Lytechinus pictus: one gene and its partners. The protein of the gene in region 3 interacts with the protein of the main gene of each other region in a biochemical or structural test. Links are inferred from orthologs where the notes say so. Each region holds a gene or a part of one and is shown on either strand. Other genes may lie near its edges.

Region 1 (3,757 bases), on a different chromosome or scaffold from region 3:
CTACACTACGCTCCACCTACCCGAACTGTCAAACATCAAGGTCCAAAACTCGCTCTGATACTCCGAGTGGCAAAGGTGGGAAAAAATGCAGATTTATTGTAAAAATCCTACACCGAAACTAGCTTAAAAAGAATAAGAAGCTTAATTTCTTACTTTTCATCCTAATTTCACTCCATATCCATCCTCCGATTAGCCTCAAAATTGGTGATTTAGAGCCAACATCGCGTTCCTCAGACGTAGTAATAATTCGCTGCCGATTTAAAAACATCGCATATGCGAGAGGGTCTGAGCTCGGACCCTCGCATATGCGCATGCGATATTTTAAAATCGGCAGCAAATTATTTATGTACATGTGAGGAACTCGATATTGGCTATAAATCAACAATTTTGAGGCTAACCGGAGGATGGATATGGAGTGAAATTAGGATGAAAAGAAATGAAGCTTCTTATTCTTTTCTAGACAGCTGGCAGCTGTCTGTTTCGAGTTTTTTAACATTTAAAACAAAAATTATTTCTTCTCGTACACAGACGGCTCGCTATCGTGCAGCCATTATTAGGGGGTTAACAATGCAAAATCCCCCGATGGGGCTCATCGATTTTTGTCTTTATTTCATAAAAACATATGAAAAGAACTGTACCAAAAGAAAGTTTATTATTCCATTTTGGCCTGAAATGCACCAAAATTGGGAAAAATAAACTTGAAAGGGGGAAAAAAACAGTGACTTACTTCGGCTGTCGTGCGACTTCACTTCCCTGTTTTATCCGAACTTAATACGGTACATAAACATATATGGCCATTGAGTCCCTGTACAGATTGAGCTAGAACTTTGGTCTCTGTAAGACTGTATTTGGTTAGTGGAGCCAACAGAGCAGAGTTCAGCGGAACAGCCAACATAACAGAGACCGAAGCTTTTGGTCTAATTCTTTTCAGGCTAGTTTCTGTGTAGGATTTTTACAATAAATATGCATTTTTTCCCACCTTTGCCACTCGGAGTATCACACTCAGTCTCAGAGCGAGTTTTGGACCTTGATGTTCGAGTAGGTGTAACGTAGTGTAGCGGTAGTGAAGTGGAGCCTGCACGAACATCACTTGTGCCTGAGGTACGACCGTACGTGCAACATGCCATGACTTGACTAAAATGAGAATCGAGATCATATTCATAATCATTAATTAATGACAATGAATTTTGCCTTTTCAATGTTATCTTACAATTTTTGCATTGAAAGTTTCAATGCAAAAATTGTTTTAAAAATGTTAGATAACATTAAAAAGTTATAGCTAAAATTATGCCTTGCTTCTATTTGGCATAAGTATTCCAAGATTGGGGCCCAATATTCCCGTGCGAAATGTTATGTTGTAGACTGTCAGTACTGATTGCAAGCTTGGCCTCGCCTCGGGAGTTGGGCATGTCGCTCGCAACGTCGGCAGGGCCAGGGTCTAGGCCGCAGGTAACCCAGAGAGCTCCCGCCCGCACAGCGGGCGGGAGCCCAGAAGCTTACCGTGTATTTTACCATTGTCACCGGACTAGGGTGATTTATGGTCTAAATATTTCTCCAAATGAATTGTGAAAACAGAAAGTATACAATTACCATGATTATATGGATGAAGGTCTAACGAGTGGCAGATTCCTGACATCTGGGCACAGTCTGGAACCTCAAAAAAACGAAAAGTTCTCTCCTTCTACCCCGTCTCGATCGGCCATTTTTGTTAAAAATCGTAACAAAATGGCCGATCGAGACTGGGTAGAAGGAGAGAACTTTTCGTTTTTTTGAGGTTCCAGACTGTGCCCAGATGTCAGGAATCTGCCACTCGTTAGACCTTCATCCATATAATCGTGGTAATTGTATACTTTCCGTTTTCACAATTCATTTGGAGAAATATTTAGACCATAAATCACCCTAGTCCGGTGACAATGGTAAAATACACGGTAAGCTTCTGGGCTCCCGCCCGCTACGCGGGCGGGAGCTCTCTGGGTTAGGCCGCAGGATGAGGCGACTCCCACAATTGATTCCTGTAAGGCTGTAGGCTGTATAACAGGCTGCCGAATGGCCGATGATTCCATTTTGAAACATGCCAAAATTTAACATACCTCAGAGCATTACCAACGGCAGATGAAAGTTGTTCAAGTGTTTCTTCCTTTGTTTCTCCATCTCCAATGGCAATTTTATCGGTTCTTTCACCCAGTCTTATCCTTAATTTCATTATTTAATCCTGACTTCGGGCAGAGTCACGGGAGAGTCACAAGTACCGAACGCATATATAATATACAAAATGATATAATATACAAAATGATATGTTCTGCACATATAACTAACAAAGCCCACAAGTGTTTTCGCCTTGTTGTTGTTGTTGTTTAAAAAAAAAAAGAAACAAATTATTTTAATGTTTAACCCATCTGTAAGCACAGGTACACTAGCGCCCCCTCGTCTATGCATGGGTGACCTAGGCATTTATGTCCGAAAAATCGGCACAATGTACCGTGCTGACCGGTATGATTGCATCTTTGAAAGGGCAGGGCAAGCGCAACTAGTTGGAACTGAGCTGAAGATAGCGGTTTGTTTTTGGTGAAGATTTGTTTATATGCCATTTTGACAAGAGTTACGACAAACTTTTGTACATACCATAATTATCCTTTTTAATATTAAAAGGATACACAAGAATAATATTTCATATATGTATACATCATATTGGTAATAATATCATTATGTGAGAAGTGAGATTTTTTATTAATAGAGTCAATGGCGACAATAGTCAAATATGACTAATCGCCACTCAAACCAACATAAGAAGAAGAAGAACGCAGCTCAGTAAAGAAAAACAATACGGTGTCTTTAATTCGCAAACTCAATTTTAAAATATGTGGGCAAACAGGTGACAAGTTTATAGAAGCTTAAAAGTGCCACCAAAAGTGCCACCATATGACAAGATCTTGGATCTCGTCATGTCTACATCTTGTGCAAGAGATGATCAGATGGCAAAATCTCGGATCCAAGATCTTGCCATCTCTTCTAAAAGATGTAGACATGCTAGGCGACGGAAGCGGGGGGGGGGGGGACAAGGGGGACACGCCCCCTAAATTTCAGGAGGAGGGGACGGTCGATCCCCCCTAAAAAAAGAGAGAAAGAAAAAAAGGAAGGAAGAAAGAAAGAGAAGGAGGAAGAAAGGAAGAAAGAAAGGAAGAGGATAAAGATAGCAAGTAAACTGAACAGCTGAAACAAAGAAATATTAATACCTATATTTTTATAGCAAAAATGAAAGTTTTTACTATGGAAAATAAAAAAAAATCAGAAAACCTAGACAACCAACAAAACAGTTCTTTCGCACCATGTAGAAGAAAATATGTAAAAAAGAGAGAGAGAGAGGAGAAAACAAGATAAGAATAAAAAGAAATGTGAATGAAATAAGGGGAGGGGATAATTGGAAAATAAAAAAAAATATCGGGACATTACATAAAAAAGAAAATTTCGCTCAGACTTCGCGCTCACATTCCTTGTTAAGTGAAATGTAGTAATCTGCTCACTAGGATACCATGGAGCTTAGAATATGCCTATCCAATTTTAAAGTCAATTTGCACAAATTATTTTGCTTGCGAATCGAGTTTCCATTGCATTCTGTTCATGCTTACAAAAAGTACTGAATATCAAAATAAATTCATCTAGCGCTTCGCGCTAGCATTATTTGACAGGCAAATGTAACGAGATACGTATTCTCTTCATGTATTACTGAAAACAGTAGTTCAAGTGTTACCGTTTCAAG
Region 2 (3,757 bases), on a different chromosome or scaffold from region 3:
CTTCATTGAAGTGTTAGGATCTGTCGTTTTAACCAAGGCGATAACACGGCCATCACTTGTCCATGCCGCGTTTACATTTTTGTGTTGGCTTGTCTTCTTGAGGAGTTTGAGGGTTGTCAGTGTCAAATCTTCTTGAATAGAAATTCCACTCCCTTTCAATGTCTTTTTCGCTTTCATAAATTGCGTCTTCTGTTTGTAGGAACACAATTTATCGATGATGGGTTTAGCCTTGGTTGGATCTTTTTGACCTACTCGATGGGATCGATCGATGTGGTGTTTTTTCAACTTGAACCCAAGCTGATCCTTGGCAATGTCAATTGCTATTTGATCGGTATCTTCACCTATTTTCTCTTTCACACCAAAAATTATAATGCTGTTTCTCCTTGTATACTGCTCGAGAATATTCAATTGGCGCTCCACGTCTTCTCTTTTCTCGATTTCATTCTGTAGCTGTTTCTCCAGAATATATGTTTCTTTTTCTTTACTCTCCAAAGAATTTTGAAGTTGAATGTTGGCTGATTCATTTTCTTCTATGTGGCGACGCATGTTTTCACATTGAACATTCACTACTTTATCCATTGTTTCTTTACAGACAGTCTCCATTGTTTTCATTAATTCTTTTGTTTTGAGTAATTTAGTGAGAATTGTTTGAAGGTGATAATCATCATTAGGTGAATGTTCAGACATATCAATCGTTACAGTGTCATCAGCTATATCACATTCAGAATCATTTGGATTGGTATGTTTCACCTTTTTCTTGCTTTTAGGGGTGCACTTCACTCTGGCGCCATCCCCCTTACCCGCCATGATCGGACACCGAAGCGAACGTAAACCTTAGTCGGGAGCAATATACACACGGATATATGTGACGATCAAAAGTACATATGGGACTGAGAGAATATATATAATACGTTCAAACGCTGAGCGTTCGGCAATGCAGATTTGCTGTTTCTCCCTCTAGATCAGTCCAATTACGAAAATTTTGTGGCAATTACATCACGAAAACATAGGTGTTTACAATCACAATTAAGTCAAGTCATAAAAAATAGAAAAGAAATCAGTATCTTCTTGCAAATCTTGGTTTGGATGATAATAAAAATATTGACTGCCCTCCTTTCGGGGAACATCAAATATATTGCCCTTAAAAGACCCATATTGCCCTCGTCTAAAGACTTGGGCCAATATGATTCTTTTGCTGGCAATATATTTGATGTTCCCCTCAAGACCAGTCAATATTATATAATTATTGACTGAAAGATTTTGTGAAATAAGAAGAAATTCATGTTAAATCTGAACTCAAATTGTTAGGTGCGCAGACTTGGGGCCCACCCACCCACGGCTACATCTCAGCCGCCGACTACAGAATAATTGAAGGCACGGCGCATTCAACAAATAACATTAATTTACGAAAAATTAATACGAGGACTTACAGAATGAAGTCCTCAGGACTACGAAACTTACGAAACGATGTGAAGTCAATTCCTCATAATTTGATGAATATCCCTCAAAATGCGTCATTTAAGCGTTGATTTTTCTTCTCGTTGACAAAATACGAGAGCTACCTTTTTAGCTCTCAAATTTTTTGTCTAATGAGCGAAAGAGGGCACGCGATTTATCTTCATATCAAAGACACTACAATTAAAAGACTAGACACAGAAATTATCTTACACGTAAATCGATGCAAAGCGTTACGCGAAGTCGGCAAAGTGTTCAATCTTTTTACTGTAAAGACTTTGGTTGAACGTTAAATGACAAACGAACGGTAGCACTTGCGGGGCTTTGTTCAAGGTACATAGAATTTTCTATATTTTTTGTTTAATTTGTCATCGTTTTGAATATTTTCCAAAAAGTATTATCGTCAGCAAAAATACTTTCCAGGCGGAGATAAGCGATTTTGCTCTTTTTTGTGTCCTTTTTAAATTAAAAAAATATGTTAAAAATTGATAATGGAACGCTTTCTACCAGAAAAAGCCATGGTGAGTAGCGGAATGGGTTTCGGCTAACATCATTCACGTTATGAAGCGATGGTAACGACAACTCTAAAATCCACTACAAAAACACGTTGGTTGTGCGAGGTTCGTATAGCATACTAACCTCGCAATAGTGTGAGTGGGGCCCACCATCATACTAAATTACTATTGAGACCTCAATCTACCCCAGTCCCGTGGCTCCCTCGTTTTGCACGGTCGACTCCTGGGCTCCGGCACGCAAAGCGAGTCGGAGCTCCCTGGGTTACCCATGAAATAGCCTTGCACTATCCCTATAAAGAATTCAAAATAACCAAACTACCTTCTGAGAGATGATCAATAGCCTCGCTCTGCATCATTGTGTTTAGAGAGTCCAACAAACGAGTCTTTTCATCATCAATTGATCTGGCCGTCTCCCTCATTTTCTCAACACGAACTTCCAAAGCATCCAAAGTCTTTAACAGATATTCATTGGCCTGCTTGCCTCCTCCACCATCATGATCATCTGTAAAATTATTTGGAGAGGGAGGTATCATCTCATTTTGGGCCTTCTTCTCTTCAACCTCACGTCCACTGCCAGCGATACAGGCCATCGCGTTCCGCCCGATCCACCCCGATAAGGCGATAGCAGCCGCGGCTCAGAAACTATCAAACTCAGACGGGCTACGCTGGATTATCTGTCTGTACGCATGGAAAAGATCCTCCAATTACTACCAGAAAAGGATTCACAAATTTTATGACGAGAATTCCGCTGATTTCCTTATTAATAGTAGATGTCTTATGATTTTCGTCTCGAAACCGATTGAAGTCTGAAGTCCCTAATTTAGCCAGGTCCAGCAGTAGGCCGACTTCTCTTTCTTGCGTAATTGTTGGTGTTGTTGTTGTTGAATATGATGGCGCTCTTCAATCTTGATCTTTCCAGATTATATGCGCCAGTCGCATTAATTTGGTAAGTAGGACGTCGTCGTCAAAGAAAAATCAATGCGACGCATCTCGCATTGACTTTGTAGGTCCTACAAAATTACAATCCAATATAATATTCCAAAATACATAATTGTAAATAACGCGTGTAAGAAATGAGAAATGATTGCCCGTGAGCAAGGAATGTATTCGACATTGCTCTTCTATCATGTAATCAAATAAATGGAAATGCTATACGCATGATAATCATTATTAAACATAAGCGTATCTCTTTTTCATATTTTGAACAAAATAAAATATACGTTCAATAGTTTCAAAAACTTTGCACACCTCACAGAGGCCTGGTGAATATGGTTAATTTGAAACACATAATAGTTTAATTTGTACTTACTAACTCTAATATGATGAAGGAGAATTTCCTCTTTCCGAGAAAAACCTTGCCTGCTAAAAAACATTATCATATAGCGGCATTTTCAGAAGCATTCCAATCTGCTTGCTAGATACCTTTATAATAATTTATGTCAAGCGTAAGCATGTAATATCATTTATAGCGCTTGGTAAAACAATGTTTACAAAGAAGTTTTCGTAGCTCCTCTCTTGGTAAAGGCGGTCTTATCAACGGTCTCGTTGCGGTTAACATATATCACACTGCCGGAATCCACTCAAAATTTAAATAAAATTTCATTAAAGGAAAAGTCCACCCCAACAAAAAGTTGATTTGAATCAAAAGAGAAAAATCCAACAATCGATTTCATCAAAATCGGATATAGGAAAGTTATGACATTTTAAAGTTTCGCTTAATTTCACAAATTAGTTATAATTATGCACATCCTGGTCGGTATGCATATGAGGAGACTGATAACGTCATC
Region 3 (3,757 bases):
AACAAAAAAGCTGGTTTAAATAAAAGAGAAAAATTATACAAACATTATGTTGAAAATTTACATCACAGATATAGGCAAATGAGAAAGTTAATGATGTGACACACTACTTGTTTGGTATTTTGTTGTTTGAATTCAATATTTCTATTTTTGCATCATTTGAAAATAAAGAAACTCTATGTTTAAATGATTACAGGTTATAACAATAGCAATTCCATGTGTTGTGGGAGGAATCAAAGTAGGTTCATTTATATATAAAGAAGAAATTACATCTTTCAATACAGTTAAATTATAAATTTATACATAAAGATATGATGAATGTCATTTAAGTTTCCCTAATTTACATACCACCCACTGGCGCCCAGGATGTGCATATAACGATTTTGTGAAACTAATTACTAAAATGTCATCATTTTCGTATTCTATATTCCATCTATAACAATTTCATCATTATGCTTGTTTGATTTTTTCTCTATTTCATTCAAATCAACTTTTGTTGGGGTGTACTTTTTTAAACCTGCCTGTAGATATGGCAAAGGCTCCTTACTGTAAAGTAAGATATTCTTGTAATTTTCCACATTTCTATTCTTACAAGAACATTTTCATTGACTAGCTTCATGCAGTAAATGTATTAAAACTTAATAATTTTTAAGCCTAGCATTCACAATGCGATCCAAATTTCAAAGAAATTATAATAACATTTGATTAGAACATTCCAACCAATAAAATCTCATCAATCAGAGCTCAGAATATTTGTAGGAATAGCTAAAATCGAAATTCAGTCAAATTCAATTGACAAATCTTAATGACGTCATCATCGGCTGCAACTTGAAGCTGATTTAGACATTTCTCTGAACAAAGGGCTTGCCGCAAAGTATAATTATGATCTTATTATTCCTAACACTAGGCCGAACTTTAAATACAATACTTTTACTTCTTAGTACTTTCATATTTAATGCAAAACAAGGTTTAATATTAAAAAATTGCATCGTATCGGATTGCATAGTGTGCGCTGGGCTTTTAATAAACACATTAAGCACTCTTAAAAGTTTTTAAATGATATTCAACGCTTGTGATTGCACACTTAGCAAGCTACACAGATTCATGATAGTATTGCAACCAACCTGATGCCAAGATTGACTTTCACTCTTTGAGAGTGAAACTAACAACTCCTTTCTCTTAATCTACAAACCTTTAATGCTAGATTGCACTCTTTATCATCACAGACAGGCAACTCCTCATTTTGCTGCTGTCCAACCCCTCCATTTGTTAACTCATTGGACACGGGGTGGTTTCCATTAGAGGGGTCAGCAAACTCTTCATCTTCCTCGTGTGGAGGATGGGTAACTTGCTGCCTCGCACCGAAGACCACCCCTTCTGTTCCCTTGGCGATGATGGTTTTTGAAAGTGTATAACCGGCCAGCTTGGATGGGTAGTCTGGGATGTGATCATCTTCTGGTTTAATGCTGTTATTCTTGAAGATGGACTGCAAAATATCATAAAAACAATGACTTATCAATGTTACAAGACAAGATGCAAGACACATCCAGATAGATAGATGGATGGATGGACTGACAGACGGACAGACAGACAGATGATAGATAGATCAATGTTACAAGACAAGATGTAAGACACATCCAGATAGATAGATAGAAGATAGATAGATACATAGATAGACAGACACAGACAGATATATGATGTAGATACTACTAGGTGGATGGATAGATAGATAGATAGATAGATCAATCCCCTGGATCAGAAAATATTTTTTTAAACTCCTCCGAACAGCGGATTTTTCAGTCTAGGCCAAGGGATACACTACTTTGATTTCGTTAGGCACTTAACTGGAGTGAAAGCACACTATAGCACAGGGATCTGTACCTGCACAAGTTCTATTGCTGTATCGAGATCTATGCCATTCCTTGCAGTTGCAGCTCCGCCATGTCGAGAATTTTGGACTTGGTCTTGGTTGACAAATCCAATTCCTGCAAACCCAAGCAATAATGGCAACACTGGACGTCTTGATGATAATGGAACATTTCTAATTCCACTTGCAAGAGGAATCCGAGGCAACGAAGCCGGTGTCAATCTCCATACTTGCGCAGCCCTGTTTGCTAGATTCTGTGACTTCTTTGGACTTGCAACAACATTGGGTCTAGCACTGTAGTGTCGAGCGGGATCTGGAATCGCAACATCGGGCTTCTGTCGGCCTGCATGTCCGTGGGCGTGCTGCTGTGCTTGTTGCTGCACCCGTCGACGCACCACACGAATTATGGTTTGTAAGCCGTGTCGGAGCGACATTTTTCACAGATACTCCATACTTCTATCAGAGTTGGAATTTGGGATAGTTCAGAGAAGAATACTGGAACGCTATATTTTAACGACTCACATACTCGAGGTATTTTTACTTTAAAAGACAAAACTCCAGAAGAGCCGATGTTATTGCGTCGTTAAAGATTCGGTATACCATAGCCACAGAGTTGGATAAAGCTAACTGCATGGTCTAAATTACGAGTCTAATTTTTCATTTTCGATTACTGGGTTCATGGACATTCCCTCTCAAGACTTATGAAACATCAAAATAGTTTTGAATAAAATATCTTTGGGTTTAATTTTTGTTAAATTTTAATATATTAGTCATTACAATGTCTTTTATATTTTTCCTTCATATTCAAGAAAAATTTATTTCATCATCGAGACTTTGAAAAAAGAATAATATTCGGCACGGACAATGACGTAAGGATTATTTAGGGGAATTCCCGTAATGCTGTTCTTGTTTACTAAAAACAAAACGTTTGTACTTATTTACTTACTTACTTACTTGCTTACTTACTTACTTACGTACTTACTTACTTATTAGTCCAGTCAATCTAGCCAGAATAGGGGGGTAACCCACCACTAATTGCAACACGAGATATTCCACTGAAATGCTTTCGAGGAAGGTCCCCTAAACAACATACTAAAATTCCCAAGAAATCCAAGCAGTGGAAATGTATGAAATTTGTATATTATACAAATTAGCCATGAAAAATTAGAAAAAAAAGGGAAATAATCCAAAGATTACAAATTAAATGTCCAAAACAATTCAATTTGAATGGAAATTCATGATAAATAACTGAATTCAATGTTTTTAATCAAAAGTGCAAAAAATTCTACCTCATTTGCATATTATGCAAATAAGCATCCTTATATAGAAAAAATGTCAAGATATTATGATTTTTCTCATATAGACTGCTTGAAAACATTTAATTAATGTTGACATTGATATGCTACTATATCACTAAGCATGAGAATTCATCCCAATGCCTGAAAATTAATTTGCATATTATGCAAATTAGCCATTTAAAAATAGAAAATGAGGAAATTAATCCAAAGATTACAAATTGATTGTCCACAGCGAGTAATTTTGAACAAAAATTCATGATGAATAAATAAGTTCAATGTCTTTATTTAAAAAAGCTAGCAAATCTGCAAGTATCCTTATGTGGAAAATGTCAAGAAATTTTGAATTTTATCACATTGACTGCAGTGAAAACATTTAAGTTTTTCAAATTAATATTCTGCTATCACTAAGCATTCAAATCTATCCTAATATGATTTATATTCAAGGAAAAATACTGGAAATATGTTCTTCGCTTCCTAAGCCGCGTTGTTAGTCTGACAAGATGATGAGATTGGCAAGAACAAAGCACAATGTGTAGTTTGTAAGAGTTGACAACACTTTCTTATATGGATGGGAACGACTTAGACTTTCTTGAAA

What was found.
Region 1: the proteins of serine/threonine-protein kinase PINK1, mitochondrial-like (region 3) and F-box only protein 7-like form a complex in vitro, tested with the Homo sapiens proteins (2 studies listed by BioGRID, with this or other methods). The link is inferred for Lytechinus pictus from reciprocal best matches to the Homo sapiens genes PINK1 and FBXO7.
Region 2: the proteins of serine/threonine-protein kinase PINK1, mitochondrial-like (region 3) and BAG family molecular chaperone regulator 2-like form a complex in vitro, tested with the Homo sapiens proteins (2 studies listed by BioGRID). The link is inferred for Lytechinus pictus from reciprocal best matches to the Homo sapiens genes PINK1 and BAG2.

Annotation. Positions count from the first base shown.
Region 1 is NC_087247.1:58,833,137-58,836,893, forward strand, and holds the start of F-box only protein 7-like, read right to left. Parts: upstream 2,584-3,757; 5' UTR 2,204-2,583; coding exon 2,091-2,203; intron 1-2,090. UniProt on the Homo sapiens protein: Substrate recognition component of a SCF (SKP1-CUL1-F-box protein) E3 ubiquitin-protein ligase complex which mediates the ubiquitination and subsequent proteasomal degradation of target proteins and plays a role in several biological processes such as cell cycle, cell proliferation, or maintenance of chromosome stability.
Region 2 is NC_087261.1:47,805-51,561, reverse strand, and holds the start of BAG family molecular chaperone regulator 2-like, read right to left. Parts: upstream 2,860-3,757; 5' UTR 2,561-2,859; coding exon 2,290-2,560; intron 1-2,289. UniProt on the Homo sapiens protein: Co-chaperone for HSP70 and HSC70 chaperone proteins. Acts as a nucleotide-exchange factor (NEF) promoting the release of ADP from the HSP70 and HSC70 proteins thereby triggering client/substrate protein release.
Region 3 is NC_087258.1:17,372,540-17,376,296, reverse strand, and holds the start of serine/threonine-protein kinase PINK1, mitochondrial-like, read right to left. Parts: upstream 2,671-3,757; 5' UTR 2,299-2,670; coding exon 1,879-2,298; intron 1,484-1,878; coding exon 1,190-1,483; intron 1-1,189. UniProt on the Homo sapiens protein: Serine/threonine-protein kinase which acts as a sensor of mitochondrial damage and protects against mitochondrial dysfunction during cellular stress.